Linked DNA regions of Caenorhabditis elegans. The protein of the gene in region 2 purifies or fractionates together with the protein of the main gene of each other region. This does not show direct contact. Each region holds a gene or a part of one and is shown on either strand. Other genes may lie near its edges.

Region 1 (4,777 bases), on a different chromosome or scaffold from region 2:
TCCGTTCTTTGTAAGGATTTTTTCGCCGAAATTGATGAAATAAAGTGGAATTTAAAAATTGAACTATTTTTTAAACTAAAAACGTATTTTTAAACATAATTAGTGGAAAAAATGACGAAAAACATTTTTAGAAACACAAAAAACATTTAAAACGTTAAAATTCGCGTTTTGGTCCCCAATACCTAACGAGACCCAGCTTTTGGGGGCAGGACATTTGCATTTAGCCGTGGAGCACGCTTGCACCTCAATCTGACTATTCGCATTTTTTGCGTCTCCATAATAATGTTGGCCGTGAAAAAAACAGGTGGCCGAGTTTTCTTTTAAATTTCCCGGCCACGCTAGATTTAACTTGAAAAATAATTGAATTTTCAGACACGTCACAGTTGAAATATATTTGCTGATAACATTCTTCATGCTACTTTTAGGAATGTGCGGATTTTTAGCAATTGAAAATTTCGATCACATTATTGTAAGGCTGATTCGAAGAAATTAATTTTTTCTAATTTTAAATTTTCCAGAAATTTTGGCATCACTTAATTCACACGTCATGTCCAGAGAAGGAACCGTTGGATGATAGAAATTCAGATTTTGAATGAAAATAATTAAAAATCAAAAAAATCAGTTAATAAATTCGTACTTTATGTTTTATTAAAAATTCGAAAAGTCGAGAAGTATAACAAAATGCAGTAAAATGAGAAATATGTGATAAAAATTAATAAAACGTGGCGGGTGGCTAATTGAGTTTCAAATTGCTAGACTCTGCGTTTTTCTTGAAAATTTTCAGAATTTCCAGTCCATGCTCAGCCATCATTTCGGGACTCGACATTCCGGTGTCGTAGAGAGATTTTAGAAGAAATCTGGAAAAATTTAATAGGATTAAGCCGTATGTGTCGATTTACGCAAGTCGTGTACTCCTCGAGAAGAAGAAGAACACAGTTTTCGGCTAAAATTCTTGATTTGGAACTGTTTGAGCTAATTTTTTCTGTATTCGAGTTTAGAGCACCGTTTTGTAGTTACAGTAGTTTTCGTGACGGGACCCAAATTGGTTTAGCACCCGTCGAGCTGTATTCAAAATTCCTGCTGAAAATAGAAAAAGGATTTTTTAATCATGTTTTCTATACTTTTTTTGTTTTTTGAAGTTTTTTACAGCAAAAGAATTGGCGAAGATGGTTCAAAATAGATCAAAATATACCCAAAAGTTGTGAATTTTTAAAAATAAAATGCAAACTTCTCTTCGAGGAGTACACTTTTTATGTTGGGAATTTTCCTCACGTCAGAACATTTTTCTTATCACCAGGTGTGCATTGGATATTCTTATCAGCCAATACTAATTTATCATGAACACTTTGAGATGGCTGAGCGACGGTTGGACGGAGACAGAATGTCGTTCGGAAATTTATCATTGGACGGTAGAACTCTAATGCACTGAAAAAATTATTATTTTCATTTCATTATTTTCAATTTTCCAGCCGTACTCTGCATAAATCCATTTTCTCAGATTGGCGGCGTTCACCGCTGATACGAAATAATCTCTTTTACTCTTCCAGATTTGTTTACGCCGAGCCAATGGATACTCTTCATCTATTCCAAGTTCCAAGTCGAGTTGATCCCAAGCACGGCGAGACAAATTCGAATTCCGATGACAAATCAGGCGTTGATCCCATAGGACTAAAAAGGGAAATTTTTGGAAAAACTTCTTGATTTCCTGACTTACTAGGCCTTTTCCGAACTGCATATATAATATCGTACACTTTTTCAGGCTCCGCGTAATCGATTTTTGTAGATTGGCGGACCCGATTGTACTTAAAATACTTGTCTGAGCGTGTTTGCACAGTCAAATCACTGAAAAAAGGATAAAAAAGAAATCTGATAATAAATGTTTTAATTCATACTTTCCATCATTCTTGAGCATATCGGCTGTAATTGAAGGAATGTACATCGAATTGTTGGATGCTCGATAATAAACTGTTTCGGGAATAATTCCGGCATCAGTTTTCGCTTTTAATTCTTCGTAATTTGTCTGAAATCTTTGAATAGAATTGAAACGAATATTATAAAAAGCTGTACCGGAATATTGCGACAAGATCTTCTAGTTGGTCCAAGACGAAGTTTCTTCGATTCGCTGGCGCTCTGAAAAAATGTTTGATTTGTCATCATTTTTTCTAGTTTTCAGTGAAACTTTTGTCATCATTTATTAGTTTTTTCTTGTGCCTGATTGAATTGATTGAAACTACATATAAATAATCACTATTTTAATTTTATTGCCCACTCGCGCTCTTTTTGGTTTTTTTCTAATAAAATTGTCTTTCTTCTCTGCGCACTCCACTATTGACCAAATCAGTGTTTCTTTCTATTTGTCATTGCCCCGACACTGCGAAGAACGTTCGCGATTGTTCTTTGTCTTTTTTACCTCTCTTAATTCCTCCGTTGTAATTGATTTCAAGTCGTCATCGAGTTGTTGAAAATCGGCAAACACTTTTCGCTTCACTATTCGGCCGCTTCGAGATTTTTCAACTTCTGAAAAATTGAGAGATTCATATAGACCATTTTTCAACATTTACCTGTCATTTTTTATTCCAGCGTGCGAATCCGTTTGGAAAATTGAGCGGAATTTTTAATTTCCAAAAAAACTTCTAAATTTCAAATTTTAAACTCTTCGCGCGCTGAAAAAGGGGCGGAGTTTTCAATTCGCAAAATGGGCGCGAGCTATTTGCAACTTGGGCGCACAATTTAGTCCTTGATGTTTGTTTATTTTTTGCTGATCAAATGTCTAAAAACTTCTGTGAACCCTTCTGAATGCTCCGATTTCGCTGCATTTTGAGCACTTCGAGGTATTAAATTGTTACTTTTTGGTTTAAAAAAAGTTTTTGTAGTCTTTGTGGAGTCAAATTTCCATAAAACCTCTCGAATTTCGGAAGAAGGGCGGTCACATGTTTGTAGTCGCGCTTTGCTATCTTTGTAATTTGTCATCGTTTTTGCGTCAGTCGATTTTGAGTATTTCATTCGAAAAATAAACTTTAAAGTCCACTTCGCGACTGAAAAGAAATAAAGCTTTGATTTTTCTGCGAATTTTCAATCGCGCCTCTCTTTCGATGTTCTTACAAGTTCTGTTATTTTCCAACTTTTAATTATTAAAATTCGAGTTCCAGGTCGATCATGTCTGGCGTCAAGGAGTTCGACTATTTGGTGATTGGTGGAGGATCTGGAGGTATCGCTTCTGCTCGGCGTGCTCGTGAATTCGGAGTTTCCGTCGGGCTCATCGAATCTGGACGTCTCGGAGGAACTTGCGTCAATGTTGGATGTGTTCCGAAGAAAGTTATGTACAATTGCTCTCTCCACGCCGAATTCATCCGGGACCACGCTGATTACGGATTTGATGTGACGCTTAACAAGTTTGATTGGAAGTGAGTAATTTTTAATTAGTTTAATCAAATAATTCTTAATTGTTTTGTTTTTTAGAGTGATCAAAAAATCGCGAGATGAGTACATCAAACGACTCAATGGTCTTTATGAGAGTGGACTGAAAGGATCCTCAGTCGAATATATTCGAGGACGTGCAACTTTTGCAGAAGACGGAACTGTTGAGGTCAACGGAGCGAAGTATCGTGGAAAGAACACGCTCATCGCTGTTGGAGGAAAGCCAACCATTCCAAACATCAAAGGAGCCGAACACGGTATTGATTCCGACGGATTCTTCGATCTCGAAGATCTGCCAAGCCGGACCGTTGTCGTTGGAGCTGGTTATATTGCCGTAGAGATTGCTGGAGTTCTCGCAAATCTTGGTTCAGACACGCATCTTCTTATTCGTTACGATAAGGTACCATGAGGAACATGGAAACTTTTCAAGTTTAACTAAATAATTTTCAGGTTCTCCGCACATTTGACAAAATGCTCAGCGATGAACTTACTGCTGATATGGACGAGGAAACGAATCCACTTCACTTGCACAAAAATACTCAAGTCACAGAAGTAATCAAAGGAGATGATGGTCTTTTGACAATCAAGACAACGACTGGAGTCATCGAAAAGGTTCAGACTTTGATTTGGGCCATCGGAAGAGATCCACTGACAAAAGAGCTTAATCTGGAACGTGTTGGAGTGAAAACCGACAAATCTGGGCATATTATTGTCGATGAGTACCAGAACACATCTGCTCCAGGAATTTTGTCTGTTGGAGATGATACTGGAAAGTTCCTTCTCACACCAGTCGCAATTGCTGCCGGACGTCGACTCTCTCATCGTCTGTTCAATGGTGAAACTGATAATAAGTTGACTTATGAGAACATTGCCACAGTGGTTTTCAGTCATCCACTTATTGGAACCGTCGGACTCACGGAAGGTATAATATCTTTAAAATTTAATTCTTTGTGTCAAATTTAATCCCCAAAATTTCAGCTGAGGCCGTTGAAAAGTACGGAAAAGACGAAGTTACCCTCTACAAATCTCGCTTCAATCCAATGTTGTTCGCAGTCACCAAGCACAAGGAGAAGGCCGCGATGAAGCTTGTTTGTGTCGGAAAAGACGAGAAAGTCGTCGGAGTCCATGTTTTCGGAGTTGGATCCGATGAGATGCTCCAAGGATTCGCTGTTGCTGTCACAATGGGCGCCACGAAGAAACAATTCGATCAGACTGTCGCGATTCACCCAACTTCTGCCGAAGAGCTCGTTACTATGCGAGGAGGTGTGAAGCCGGAATAATTTTTTATTTATTTATTACATTTTTAAATTTGGATCAATTTCTTTTGACTTTCTTGTAGATAAAACATTGCAAAATTTAA
Region 2 (5,870 bases):
AATATTATAGTTAAACAGCAAATTCTGAACTTATGGCATTCAGTGTTATTAACTAATTTTAATTTCATTTTGAATTTACAGCTGAAATGATATTCCTAAAAAGTTAAACTGTAAATAATTAATACATTTTCAGGCTCCAAACCCTATCTATGAATATATTGACGCCCCTGAAAAATTGCAAAATTTCGTTATTTTCCGAAACTACAGTAACCCTACAGTATCACTATATTATCCCAGTATCACCAGCACACCTACAGCTCGATTCCTTAATATCACGCGTTCTACGCTAACCGGTCAAAATGTTTCCTGACTCGATATATCTACAAAAGCTCAAAACTCAATGAAAACAAGCATTTATAGGCAAAATTACCTATTTTTCAGAGCATAAATCGGAGTTTGCGTTAGGAAAATTTTGCCATTTTGCCGTTTCGCCGGCTCAGCATAACCAGATTTGTTCATTTATTAAACTCGTTATTAAAGTTCTGAGTACAACTAAAATATCACAAAGAGCTCAAGAAAGACGGCGACAAAACTGCGGTAAACAGTAAACCATCCGACAAAACGATTGGCGACAAAAAATACGGTGACAGAACGAATGCATTGACATACGGAGGTGACAACACGAATGGTGATAACACAAATGGTGATAATATGATAGGTGATAAAGTGTTTGGGACGCCCAGAAGGGGAGATAGACAAAAGGGATTTAAGATCAGCGGGACCATGACGAGAGGACTCAGAATGAAGGGAGTGAGGACGAAAGGGGAGAGGATCAGTGGATCGGCGACGGCTGGGGAGAGGATTAGTGGGGACAGGGCTAGAGGGGAAAGGATGATGGGACTGAAAATAGTGGGGGAGAGGATGATCGGGGCAAGGACACGTGGTGAGAGAATCAGTGGGGAGAAGATCCACGGGGAGAGGATCAGGGGGCCCAGGGCCGATGGGGATAGGATCAGCGGGGAGAAGACGAGTGGGGAGAGGACGATCGGCTGGGATGCTGTTTTAGGAGCCAACGTTATCCAGGTGAAGAGGAGAGGGCTCAGCACTACATCTTTCTGGAAATTTGAAAATTTTTATAGTGAGTTGTCCGCATCAATTCCCGGCCGACCTGTCTAGCAACTTTGAAGGCTTGCTCCTCGCGCGCCATCTGATGAATATTATTCTCTAAAATATCTGGAATATCATTTCTTCTCAAATTTCTGTAGTTCTCATAGGCATGGGAATCGTTGTACGGGGAGCCTGGACCGTAGAACTCGGAGATTTGCTGGGAGCTCATGATTGCGTAGCCAGTTGAGTTCATCTCGTGCATCTGAAAATTTCATATTCGCGCGCGTGTATGCCGGCCAATCAGAGGGTTGCAGTGAGCGTGGTCAACTACGCTGATTGGTCGGCGTAGTCATTTGCTTCGTGCCGTAAATCTACACAATTTCCTTTTTTTTCTCATAGTGCCTTCCTGACCTGAGCTGCCGACATCGACTTGTGCAACTTCTCCATTGAGTCAATTTTTGAGGTCTTATAATCTCCATACATCTCTGATACATTCTGACGTGTGAAGTACATTGGCTGCCCATTTTCGTTTGAAAAATGCTTACGGAACGCCTCCATCTCTTGTTTTCTCTCGTCGAACTTTAAAAGTTTGATTTCAATTATTTTCAAATTCCAGTCAAACTTCACCTATGTAAACTCACTCTCATTTTCTCCACGGCTTCTGTCACCCCTGAAGCTTCTAGCACAAAGTTCATCCAGTCATCATGCCCATTTTCAGAGAGAAACCTCATCGCTCGGGATAGTGAAAGCATTTGGTCAAGCTCGGAGCCGGATTCATGAAGAGCAAACACGGAAGGGGAGAGTAGGTTTACCTGGACACTTTTTTTGGAATTTTTTTTTTCTGAAAAGCATGGAGTCTACCGTATCATTTGCCTGCTCATCCGGTAGAACACTCATAAACTGAGGGGACATCAGTGCGATTTTCCGGTCGTCGAAGTTTGAAACATTTTGACCGGTTAGCATCATTCCTAGCTTTACACCTAAAATGTGAAACTAAATATCAGATTTTGAGATAGGTTATTACCATCTCTAATCATCATCAACGGCTTCTTCAATACCTGCTCCTCCTCGCTTAATTTTCCAGTGGTGTTTGCAGCTGAAATCTCTTCACCAATTGAATCTAGGCCCTGTAAAATTGCATTTTTGTAGTTTGTAGTGAGAAATTTTATTTCTGAGAAACTAGAATTTTAAAGACCTTATGGTACAGTATCAATCCAAGTCAGTGAAGGACTATAACTTTCTCCCTAACTTTGACAACTTTTTGCAAAACTTTGGTTACTGTTTGTAGAACTTTGGTATCTTTCTACAATACTTTGAAAATTTCCTGCCAAATTTTGGACACTTTCCGCTAAACTTTGGCAACTTTCTACCGACATTTCCCAACTTTCTATGGGAGTGGTTCATCGCAAACATAGATCAAACATAGATCAGTCGGCCAAGTCACAATTTTTTTCAAAAATTTATCGGGTACTTGGTACTGGTTCCACTCAAAATCTTACCGCTCTTCTGAACGCAGTCTCCGGGTTCAAACCAAGCATCTTCATAGTCCTTGAGTATTTTGAAAACACGTTCCGAAAATCCTCCTGATCCTTTTTCTTCTGCTTGATCCTATTCAGCTCATCTTTAATCTCATTGATCACAGTTTGCCACTTTTTCTTCGGCTCCTTCTCCTTATTCTTATTCTCCCTCACAATATCCGTCAGGGTCTTTGCTATCAAGGAGAACGGCGACGTCATCTCCTTCTTCCCCTTCAGCTCATATTGCTGCTTCTGCTGAACCACACGTTCCTTGTCTTCTCGGTATGTTTCGGGAAGATCTCGTTTTGCTCTGGCTCTTCTCAGCTGGGATCTTCGAAACTTTAACTTTTTAAATTTTCGAATCTTCCGTCTCTGATCATCTAGACGCTTGAGAATTGTCACCACACACTGCGCGTGCTCCGTGATCGACTTGGCCACCTGCGTGCAATTGTTGTGCTGGGCGATGTGGCGGGGTTCTAGGCGTTTATCTTTTAACCTGGAAAATATAATTTCAGATTCACGGGTGCACCTATTTTGAAAAGAATGACCTACTTAGTGCTCATCAAGGCCATCATAAAGCCTGACGCCGCTTGATCCACCCATTTTTGAATCAGTTGGTAGGTGGCTTCTTCGGAGATCTTCACGATGGTCTTGTTCCCGTCATGTGTCATCTCATTTATATTCAAAACTGGAGGGTCTTTACTAATACCCTTCTTATAATCATCGTCTACAATAAACTGCAGACTTCCATTGTGTGAGGCTTTCTCTTTTTCTACTGCTGTCAGGTTGAGAAATGGAAGGAGCTTAGAAGGGATCGTTCCTTCTGTGAGTTGGTGCTTTAGACGGAGCACACTTTTTTGGATATCCGAGGAGGAATTTGTGTCTGCAAAATTAAAATTTATTTTTAGAAATAAGCTAGGCAAAACAGTGAACAAAGTTAATTCGCGATGAACTTTAATCCAAAGTTATGAAATTTTTTTTTTGGCAAATCTACAAAACTGCTCATATCGGGGATATAATCCAAATTTTTGTAATAAAATTTATTATGTACATATATGGTGAAAAAATGTTTGATAAATCTGAAAATAGTTATACTTTTATTGAAAAAATTGCCCCTATTCGAAAAAACAAAATTTTCAGCAATTTCCAATTACTTTTATTATATAAGCAACTTTCATACACAGTGCCAGGTCTTATTCAAATTTTGCAGCAAAAAATTTAACACTTTTATATTAAACACAAAATGGAGTTCTCATTATAAAGTTCTATAGATTTGTTTATTTTTTCAAACAAAATCATTTTTCAAAACACTTACCTAAACCATAAGCAACACCGAAAATAAAGTTCATAGATAAAACTAAATAAATCCATCGGATCATAGTCTCCGACAAAAAAATTGTGAATGATAGCTATCCCCCAGTCATTAGCCAGATAGCCGACCCTAATTCGCAGCTTGTAACATACTCGTTACCCCCAACCCTTTTTCTTCCGAAAAAGAGTAGAAATACCAGTTGGATACTAATGTGATCTGGATATTTATCCTTTTTTTTGTGTATGCCGAAAAATGAAAAAAGTGAAAAGGGGAAGTGATAAGGATGAAAAGATAAAACAAATAGATAAATAATAGAACGATGGATGAACTTTTTGGTTTTGTGTTCTGATTTGAGGTGCAAAATTGTTTTTTTTAATAATTTTGTGTGACAACCTTACACACTTTTCATTAAAAAATTTTAATTTACCGCCAAAATTATCCGCAAAAATTCGAATTTACCGCCAAACACGTGGTGTCAAAGTGCCCCATTTGCGTTTGATCTACGTTGATCTACAAAAAAGCGGCAGAGTTCTCAGCTGATTTTGCATGGTTAAGGAAATGCTGACGTCACATTTTTTGTGCAAAAAATTCCCTCATTTTTTGTAGATCAAACCGTAATGGGACAGCCTGACACCACGTGGCCATAATTATCCGCAAAAAGTTGAATTTCCAATCAATCATTTTTCCAAAAAATTTTAATTTCCCGCCAAAATTCTTCTCGAATAATATGAATTTAGCTCAAAAATGTTTCTTTAAAAGATTGAATTTCTCGGCAAAGTTCGTCCGAAAAAATTAAATTTGAAGATTTTTGCAGAAAAAATAGAATCTTCCGCCAAACTTTTCCGTAAAAAATTAGAATACCCAACTACAACTTTTCTCGAAAACTTGAATTTCCCGCAAGACTTTTTTCTCAAAAATCTTCAATCTCCCGCCAAAATAATTTCGGTAAAAATTTAAAACTCTTTCTCAAAAAATTTGAAATTTCCGCCAACCTTTTTTTCAGATTAAAATTGAAAGTCACTCAATGGTCTCGTAACGATGGGGAACCCACAAACGAAACCTACAAACGGGAAACTGTTTGTTATATTGTTGTGTGGTCCTGTGCACACCAAATGTTTTTTATCTATAGTTTGATCTATGCGGTCTGTCTGCCGATATAGTGTTACCTACACCCGTCCCGCCTGTTCTCTTCCCTATGTAGGAGGCGATTGTAAATGTGTCTTTCTAGTTGCAATGCCTATTTCTTCTTGTATTCTCTCCTCTTCATATTATTCTTATTAATAAATTATTTAATTATCACTATATTATGAGGACACAACATACAAGTGTGAACTATTTAAAGGGTGCTTAACCAACTTGGCGACAGCACCGCAGTGAAAACTGCACCATTTGATAAAACAGCAGGGGACAAGGCATAAGGATTCAGCACAAAAGCTGACACAAATGGAGGGGACAAAACCAGCGGTGATAGTACAAAGGGGGAGAGGATCAGTGGAGTCAGAGCATTTGGGATACCTATAAACGGAGAAAGTGCAAATGGGGAAAGTACCAGTGGCGCCATAACAACCGGCGATAGAATAAATGGCGATAGAATGAATGGAGACAAAATAAACGGGAGACCTACTCCGGGAGACAAGATGATAGGGACCATGCAGAGAGGGGTAAGGATCGCTGGAGACATGATTACCGGGGATAGAATTACAGCGCCAAGGATACGGGGACTGACGAGGACTGGCACAAAAATCCATGGGGATAGGATGACATTTCCGTAGATTGACGGTGAGAAGATGATTGGGACAATGAGGATAGGCGATAAGATTAGGGATTGGGAAGCTGTCACGGGATCGTTGACTACTGAACTCAAGACCAGGGGGTTTAGGACGATGTCTTTCTGAAATTAACAAAGTAGGGTATTTTTGAAGAATGTACACTCAAAATAAAAAAAAACTGCGTGTCATGTACTACAGAAAACCTAATATTTAGACCCCGCCCTT

Evidence for each region.
Region 1: the proteins of mltn-7 (region 2) and madf-8 fractionate together in Caenorhabditis elegans (co-fractionation; one large-scale study listed by BioGRID). This does not show direct contact.

Annotation. Positions count from the first base shown.
Region 1 is NC_003281.10:3,648,180-3,652,956, forward strand, and holds madf-8 (MADF domain-containing protein), read right to left. Parts: upstream 2,654-4,777; 5' UTR 2,569-2,653; coding exon 2,562-2,568; intron 2,518-2,561; coding exon 2,411-2,517; intron 2,131-2,410; coding exon 2,068-2,130; intron 2,021-2,067; coding exon 1,893-2,020; intron 1,843-1,892; coding exon 1,715-1,842; intron 1,669-1,714; coding exon 1,476-1,668; intron 1,426-1,475; coding exon 1,273-1,425; intron 858-1,272; coding exon 734-857; 3' UTR 613-733; downstream 1-612. Other genes in the region: Putative potassium channel regulatory protein unc-93, read left to right, coding at 373-469, 519-596; gsr-1 (Glutathione reductase, mitochondrial), read left to right, coding at 2,797-2,831, 3,150-3,404, 3,460-3,817, 3,868-4,339, 4,396-4,697.
Region 2 is NC_003283.11:368,431-374,300, reverse strand, and holds mltn-7 (MLt-TeN (mlt-10) related), read right to left. Parts: upstream 3,969-5,870; 5' UTR 3,944-3,968; coding exon 3,880-3,943; intron 3,448-3,879; coding exon 3,117-3,447; intron 3,061-3,116; coding exon 2,547-3,060; intron 2,175-2,546; coding exon 2,072-2,174; intron 2,028-2,071; coding exon 1,909-2,027; intron 1,860-1,908; coding exon 1,689-1,859; intron 1,627-1,688; coding exon 1,459-1,626; exon of another isoform or gene 1,310-1,458; coding exon 1,109-1,309; exon of another isoform or gene 1,056-1,108; coding exon 501-1,055; downstream 1-500. Other genes in the region: mltn-6 (MLt-TeN (mlt-10) related), read right to left, coding at 5,213-5,767.